Linked DNA regions of Saccharomyces cerevisiae S288C. The protein of the gene in region 1 interacts with the protein of each later gene in a pairwise test. Each region holds a gene or a part of one and is shown in the gene's direction. Other genes may lie near its edges.

What was found. The genes of interacting proteins can lie anywhere in the genome.
Region 2: the proteins of SFP1 (region 1) and MRS6 interact in binary tests that used the Saccharomyces cerevisiae proteins (3 or more experiments, as listed by UniProt).

What each region holds. Positions count from the first base shown.
Region 1 is NC_001144.5:923,802-928,130, forward strand, and holds SFP1 (zinc-coordinating transcription factor SFP1), read left to right. Parts: upstream 1-1,766; coding exon 1,767-3,818; downstream 3,819-4,329. Other genes in the region: tRNA dihydrouridine synthase DUS3, read right to left, coding at 1-647. UniProt on the Saccharomyces cerevisiae protein: Transcription factor that regulates ribosomal protein (RP) and ribosome biogenesis (Ribi) gene expression in response to nutrients and stress. Promotes RP gene expression under optimal growth conditions.
Region 2 is NC_001147.6:1,028,622-1,032,971, reverse strand, and holds MRS6 (GTPase-activating protein MRS6), read left to right. Parts: upstream 1-1,977; coding exon 1,978-3,789; downstream 3,790-4,350. Other genes in the region: GPB1 (Gpb1p), read left to right, coding at 1-1,483; 40S ribosomal protein eS12 RPS12, read left to right, coding at 4,347-4,350. UniProt on the Saccharomyces cerevisiae protein: Substrate-binding subunit (component A) of the Rab geranylgeranyltransferase (GGTase) complex. Binds unprenylated Rab proteins and presents the substrate peptide to the catalytic component B.

The sequences.
Region 1 (4,329 bases):
ATTTCCAATATTTCATTACTTTTTGTGAAAGGAAATCTTCTTTTTATAAGATCGAGTTTTCTTTCCGGTGAGATATGGTTTACCTCACCTTTAACGGACCATATTGTTTGCGCATCTGGATCAATCTCCTTCTTCGATATTAGGATATTATCTTCTTTATTCAGATGAGACGATAAAAATCTGCATTTGAATCCCATGGGGCAAAATCCCAACGAGTTGAAGACCGGACAGGAAGGAAATATATTACTTTCAACTTCAGGCTTTTTTGTTGAAAGGTACAGATTGATATCGTGAACAAACCTACAGTTATCACCAAAGGAGCATTTAGATATATCGCCATGGATCAAGCGTGGGCACAAGACATTCTGTTCCTTGACCTGCCTGTTATCTCTATTCTTGTTTTGCCCACGCTTCTTACCTCTTCCGTTCTTATTTTTCTTATTAGTCCCACCTGCAAACTCGTTTGTCATTCTGTCGGAAGACATCTCTTCATCATAGATGGCGACCTTCTGGTTTTCATTCTGCTTCAATGGTACAATATATTCTGGTTTGATATGTGCAATACCTTTGGACGGGGAAGTGTCTTGTCTCTTCACGGTTGAGTTGTCGTCGCCAACAATAGAGCGTTTTTCAGCGTTTTGCTCCATCAATAATGTTTAGAAGTTGCCTTTTTTTCCTATTCTGAGTTCATTAATGTTTCATTACTGCTCATCTCATCACTACACATTCGAACTAAATTCTTCATAACTTTAACTAGATCTTATGAAACTTTTCAAAAATGGTGCACGGGCTTTCTGTATATTGAACTTTCCGTCGCTTTTCGGAGCTACAATTCCCCTACCCGGCTTGTCGGCATTAAGTCTCTTCATCCCGTGTACTATTACCCGACAGGTTTCTGCGGCATGTTCTGTGGAACGACGGTACGGGCGGTGACTGGGTGCCAAACAGTGCGGCGTTCCCGTGCGCAAGGTGGTCTGCGGTAGGAAAAAGAAACAAAACGCGCCTACGTCGTGCAAGGGGACAGGATTTTGTCAGTTACATAATAAGGAGCAATTTCGAATCAATTGAAATTTGGAACAAATGGGCGATGCATTCGTTAAAAGGCGATTTTGTATCAAATAACGTCACTATCAGCCATTGTCACTTGCCACTGTCGCCTGCCACCGCTATTGCCATTATCATTTGCTTTCGCATCGTCACCGATTTAAAGCTCTCTAGGCTAACGTACGCATTTTACCTCCCAGGCCCTATCTCTTTTCTACCTGTCATCCCTATATAACGTCTTGTACATTCTAGTGGCTCCGTTAACAAGGTTTGACAAATATTACAATCAAAGAAGGATAGCGCTAGTCAATCTAATCATTAAGTTCGCTTATAAAGAGAAGGAAAGCTAGATTTTTTTTCTACTTCAATTACATATCGGTGCTTCTCTCTGGTGGTTTTCTGTTTTTCTAATATTGATCGATTTTACGGTGAGTTAAACTACTTCCTTTTATCGCAATATCATATTTAGAGCGAGAAAGCAAGAAGAATAAAGCTAGGAGAAAAAAGCGCCACGATACATTCATACTAAGTTTATAATATACCGGTCGTCTTTTGGCTTTCTGATACCATATTATATCCTCGAAACACTTTCTCTGGATTCACCTACTATTAATCACCTCAAGATTTCACTTGTAAGGCGTTTTCAAATTTATTGTTATTAAAAGACATATTCATATTCAGTATTTTTATTTTTCTTCGAAACAGGAAAAGCTTATCTGAGTATGGATTTTACAACAATGACTATGGCAAGCAATATGGCTACTAGTACTACTACGACGGCTACATCGGCACATGCATCTATAAATTCGTCATCAAACTTTAATATTGATATTGATTCGAACCAGAATACTCCTTCCATTTTGATAAATAACAATTCGGATTCTTCTAATGGAAAAAACACAGATTTTAACGGCGTCAATAATATTCACCAAAAAAATATCATGAATAATACAAATAATGTTCATTTGTACTCTCCAAATATAATGGACCAAACGCTACTAACTCCACAGGACATTGCCAAGTTACGGAGAGAATCAATAGCCCATTCTCAAGGGATGGGTGGTGTTTCATGGGGATCCATTAGTGTTGGTTCTTGGTTAAGAGATGAAATTATTAGCCGTAGAAATAGTATTGTACCTGCATCAGCAAACGGTGCTGCCTCCGCTGCCGCTTCTGCAACCACTACTGCCACTAATACTTTGCAGATTCAACAACCAACTAAGAGACCCTCTGTTAGTAATCCGCCTTACCATAGAGGGTATTCTATTTCTCCTCAGATAGCCTACACTGCTTATCTGCCAAATCTAGAAAAGCAATATTGTAAAGATTATTCATGCTGTGGTCTTTCCTTACCAGGTTTGCATGATTTGCTGAGACATTACGAAGAAGCTCATATATCCACGTCTCCTAACACTACCAATATGTCACAAATACCGATGAACTCTGCTGGTAACACTAGTTCATCAGTTCGTATGACAAATAATACCTCTTCTGCCAACTATAACCTGCAGAATAACATGGCCGCTAATACAAAAAATGCAGGTCATAAGACTAATACTATGCAGGCTCATAGCAGCAATGCAACTAATAACACCTCCATTAATAATATGCATGCCAATCTTCAGAGCAACATGGATTCCAACTCCACAATACGACAATCTCAGCATCCTCACCATCAGCAGAATATAATACAACAACAGTTGCAATCGAATTCTGTAAATCATACATCAGGGGCTGTACCCACACCGAGTGTAATGGGTTCAGCAACTGCGTCGTCCACAACTGCAAATCCAAATGTGATATCTATAACGGGTGCCCCCAACTCGGGCTTATCTATGGCTAATCACTCTCAACAACTACATCTGAATGGTAATCTAGTCGATGCCGTTTCAACGAATGATGTGTTTTTAAGAACGAGCAATTCTCCATCAAGACACGTTCCGCACAATAAACAAATTAACAGTAACAATAATAGTGGTATCAATATCAATAATAATACCTCACACAATTCTAATATTAACATGGGTAGTAAAAACGCCATGGTGAATCGTCCACATACTTTTAATAACTATTCCTTGAACAAAACGTCCAGGAATCCTATTCAACATCAATCAAGAAAAATTGATCCTCATCAAACCGATTTATCACCTCTGGTACTTGTCCAAGATATAGATTTAAGTTTTATGGATGATGATATTTTGGGCCCTAGTAACCACAATTCCATGAACTCTGTCGTAAATCCAACTACAGGTTCTCACAACTACAATACTTTTCATTCTTCCGTACACGCAAAATCTTCTCAAAACATGGTCGAGGATCAAGACATTGATGACATTGATGATGACGATGATGTTGATGATGACGATGACGATGACGATGACGATGACACAGAAAATGGCTCCAGTTCCAATGGAAAATCAGTTCATAACAACAATTACAAGATGCCTCAGCAAGCTTATATAGACGATCCTGCGAGAAGGCTCTATGTAATGGATCATGAGGAACAAAAACCCTTTAAGTGTCCAGTTATTGGTTGTGAAAAGACTTATAAAAACCAAAACGGTTTGAAGTACCATAGGTTGCACGGACATCAGAATCAAAAATTACATGAAAACCCTGACGGTACATTTAGCGTAATAGATCCAGATTCGACAGATTCTTTTGGTGATGGAATGGGCTCTGCAAAGGATAAACCATACCGTTGTGAAGTTTGTGGTAAGAGATATAAGAACTTGAACGGTTTAAAATATCACAGGGGCCACTCCACTCACTAAGATATAATTGTTTCTTTACTGAATTGATTTAGTATGCTATTTAGATACTAATTCTACCGTTACCGACTCATGCATCGAGCGGCCGCTCTTTCTCTTGTTGTTGGGCGCAATTTATGTGATCATCTTTGAACGAAAATGCATGATAAAGCTGTGCTCTTCGACTGTTACCATTAATTTCAAAAAATAAAAAGCATATCTATTATTGAAAAATGAACTTATAATAGAATAACATTTTCTTGTTTTGTCATCATTTCCTCTAAATACTCCGTCATGAAAACGATTTGCGCTCTGTCTGGTCTCTCCTTTTAGTATTATTGTTGTGTGTTTTTTACTATTCATTTTTTACTACTGTGTTTTTACTATATATATTTTGGCTTTACTTACTTCCTTCTGTTCTGATGTATTAAAAACTATTTTTATTCTAAGAAAAGAAACTTTAATTCTTCTTATTCATGCTCTAAATCTTAAATAAAAGGTTCCGTTTTTTATCTGCAATTCTGTGTATTTGTAA
Region 2 (4,350 bases), on another chromosome or scaffold:
AGTTGATGATAAGGGAAGATATTTTATAAGAAAAAGAGCTTTTTTGAACAATACTGGTTACATTCTAGATACAGTGACGTTCAATTTCTCAAAGATTGAATTAGTCGCTCCTCCGTACCAGTTTGCAATTTACAATAATTTCTCGCCAAGATTTGGTCACATGCAGGCATCAATAAGTAATTCCAACAACAATGTATCCAATGAAAATACCACAACAAGTGCGAAAGGAAGAAGGTCGATAAGCCCATATCGCCAAGGTAATGGGGATCACAAAATAGATGATTTGGTTGGTTCACCAGGAAGTACGGACTATTTAGAGGATGATGCAATTCCACCTGTAACAAACCCAAGGTCTACAGATAGTCTCTCTTCCAAACATTGTAGCACAGCAACACACATTTGCTCATCTGTTAATACCATTCTGATCTTTGGAGGGTATAGTCAGACTGGTGACGACAAGTATGAAGCTATGAATGACATGTGGAAGATAAATATCCCTGTAGTTTCTCGTGGGAAACGTAATTATTATAAATTTGCAGATACTGTAACTGCTACTAAGATCCCTATTATTGATGATCCAGAATTATGGCCGAGCAGAAGAGCCTTTTCAGCGTGCTGTGTACCAGATTATTTTACCAAGGATGTTGAACCCATAGAAACGAGATTACTGAGGAACTTGAAAAATGACTTCTCCATCGATTTGGAAATACGCCCAGGAAATAAGCCTTCTCAACCACTTTTTCCGAATATCCCACATTCAAGGAAGGAGAAGAAGAGTGGTCGCGATAGTATGCATATTTCCAATTCTAATAATAGTACTAGTGAAGACACTTCTTCAAAGTCTACCAGGAATACCACATCCAGTCCTCCCACAAGCCCTAAACATACACCACCATTGAATCCATCAAAAAAATGTGCATCAATCGGAAGAACTATTGCGTTCCACGGAGGTTCAGATGGCTATGACGTTTGCAGCGATATGTGGTGGTTTGACTTCGATTCCGAAACCTGGACTAAAATAGACCTTTATGCCAAAACACAAGAGGAATCTGATGGTTTGGTACCTATCAACTTATGTATGGTAGGACACTCAATGACAACTGTAGGCCACAAGGTTGTGCTTATCGGGGGTCTACGACAAGGTGATGTTGACCGAATATACCGGGACGAAACTCTTCCTGAAGAAGTAATATCGGGTGTTCCACTCGGAAGTGGCGTTATAAATGTCGTGGATTTAAATACACAATGCCTTCAAGGTTGCAAGCTAATACGAAATGATGGAGATACTAAAGAATCTGTCATTATGGATCCTCATGTCGGCACACCCCACCAAGTATTGGCCGTCGCAGGTACTATAGAACTGGTCAAAGGAACCATGACCTTAATAGGAGGTGTAGTAGCCGGTCGCGAAGACATTTCGAGCCTTTACTTGAGAGGAGCTGTCTTACAATTCATTCTACCAAGCATGAATCTAGCCAACTAATTAATTCCGCGGGGCGGGGTTCGGATAATCCTTATGTGACAAGAGTGACTAAAGGAAAACGAGAAAATTTTTTCGTGGAACTTGAAAAAAAAAAAAAAAAAAAAAAAGAAAACAGAACAAGTGAAGAAGATAAAAAAAGGTTCTATATCGCACTATACAACAATAGTAGCGTTTCCCGTGTTCTTTTCCCGTCATTAAATATATTCAAAAGTTGTTGCACATTTGATTTTACAGAAGTAATATACACTGATTGTGCGTACGGTTAATTCGCAACTAAATTCAATCAGTACAAGAAAAATTTTTATTCCGTTCCATCATTATTGAAAGATAAACTATCACATTGCGATAATAAACTAAAAGACACTAGGATACTGCCTTCGGATATAAACATTTAAGTTTAATTTATTACTGTTTTTTTAAGGGTTTAACAGCAACATTTCAGTTTCTATAATACAAATAAAAAAAGGAAGACTAATATTGACCGAAAAAAAGTTATGTTAAGTCCTGAACGTAGACCATCCATGGCAGAACGCCGCCCATCATTTTTCAGTTTTACTCAAAATCCAAGTCCTCTAGTTGTCCCGCATTTAGCCGGTATTGAAGACCCTTTGCCAGCCACTACACCAGATAAAGTTGATGTTTTAATCGCAGGGACTGGTATGGTAGAGAGTGTATTGGCTGCTGCATTAGCTTGGCAAGGTTCCAATGTCCTTCATATTGATAAGAATGATTATTACGGTGACACTTCAGCCACACTAACTGTAGACCAAATCAAAAGATGGGTAAATGAAGTTAATGAAGGCTCAGTAAGTTGCTATAAAAATGCGAAGTTGTATGTATCCACGCTAATCGGTAGTGGTAAATATTCTTCAAGAGATTTCGGTATTGATCTTTCCCCGAAGATCCTATTTGCAAAATCTGATTTATTATCCATCTTAATCAAATCAAGAGTTCACCAGTATTTAGAATTCCAATCTTTATCTAATTTCCATACTTATGAAAATGATTGTTTCGAAAAACTAACAAATACAAAGCAAGAAATATTCACGGATCAAAACCTACCACTAATGACAAAGAGGAACTTAATGAAATTTATCAAATTCGTACTCAACTGGGAAGCACAAACGGAAATATGGCAACCCTACGCGGAGAGGACCATGTCTGATTTTTTAGGGGAAAAGTTTAAATTAGAAAAACCACAAGTCTTCGAATTAATCTTCTCAATTGGGTTATGTTATGATCTCAACGTAAAAGTACCAGAAGCTTTACAAAGGATTCGTCGATATCTAACTAGTTTCGATGTTTATGGACCATTCCCTGCACTATGCTCCAAGTATGGTGGGCCAGGAGAATTGTCGCAAGGGTTTTGTAGATCTGCCGCTGTAGGTGGCGCTACTTACAAACTCAATGAGAAATTGGTATCCTTCAACCCTACAACTAAAGTGGCCACATTCCAAGATGGATCCAAAGTTGAAGTTTCAGAGAAAGTGATAATATCGCCTACGCAAGCACCTAAAGACAGTAAGCATGTCCCTCAACAACAGTACCAGGTTCATCGTTTGACCTGTATAGTTGAAAACCCCTGTACTGAATGGTTCAATGAGGGTGAATCGGCCGCCATGGTAGTCTTCCCTCCTGGCTCTTTGAAATCTGGTAATAAGGAAGTAGTACAAGCCTTTATTCTCGGTGCTGGCAGCGAAATTTGTCCAGAAGGAACTATTGTATGGTATTTATCGACCACAGAACAAGGCCCACGTGCTGAAATGGACATTGATGCCGCTCTAGAAGCTATGGAAATGGCCCTGCTAAGGGAATCGTCTTCAGGTTTAGAGAACGACGAAGAAATTGTTCAACTAACGGGAAATGGTCATACAATAGTAAATTCAGTTAAGTTAGGCCAATCTTTTAAGGAGTATGTTCCTAGGGAAAGATTACAGTTCTTATTTAAACTTTATTATACCCAATACACATCCACGCCACCCTTTGGTGTAGTTAACTCCTCCTTCTTTGATGTAAATCAAGATTTGGAAAAAAAGTATATTCCCGGTGCGAGTGATAATGGCGTCATATATACAACCATGCCTTCTGCTGAGATATCGTATGATGAAGTAGTCACCGCAGCCAAAGTTTTATACGAAAAGATAGTTGGCAGTGATGATGACTTCTTCGATTTAGATTTTGAAGATGAGGATGAAATACAGGCTAGCGGCGTTGCTAATGCGGAACAATTTGAAAATGCCATAGACGATGACGACGATGTCAATATGGAAGGTTCCGGTGAATTTGTAGGTGAAATGGAGATATGACGAGCAAGACATATTCTATTTAGTATTTTTTTCCCTTCAGGAAACGGTGATTAATGTCTTCTTACAAGTTAATGAATAGTATATATATGTAAAAAAAAATTCTGCTTCATGTATATACGCACCTCGTTATTGAGGTATTGCGAATGTAGCAGTTGAATAAGCAAAGACGAGGTTTGTACATCTTGGCATATTAAATGGTTATTTCGGGGTTTGTTTCGGCTCAACGGTGATATAAAAAGAAATCCAGTACTGTTTACCATTGTGCATCCGTACATTTGATTTGTTTACAACATCTTCACATTTCCATTGTGGAATCATTTTATTTTTTTCAGAATACCTTACCCGCAAGCAAACTTTCAAGCAAACTTACAATTTGCAAAATTTCATCGAATTCTCCGCAGGACATATTATAAAAGTTATGTCATCTCTTATCACAACAGGTCTATAAGTGTTCCTTGTTCAATTGTTTTTCCCAATTCAAAACTCTTCACGGAGCAGTTTAATTATCTTACTGTCGAAGAAGTCAAAAACTAGACTATATATTATTGAGAAGAAAAATGT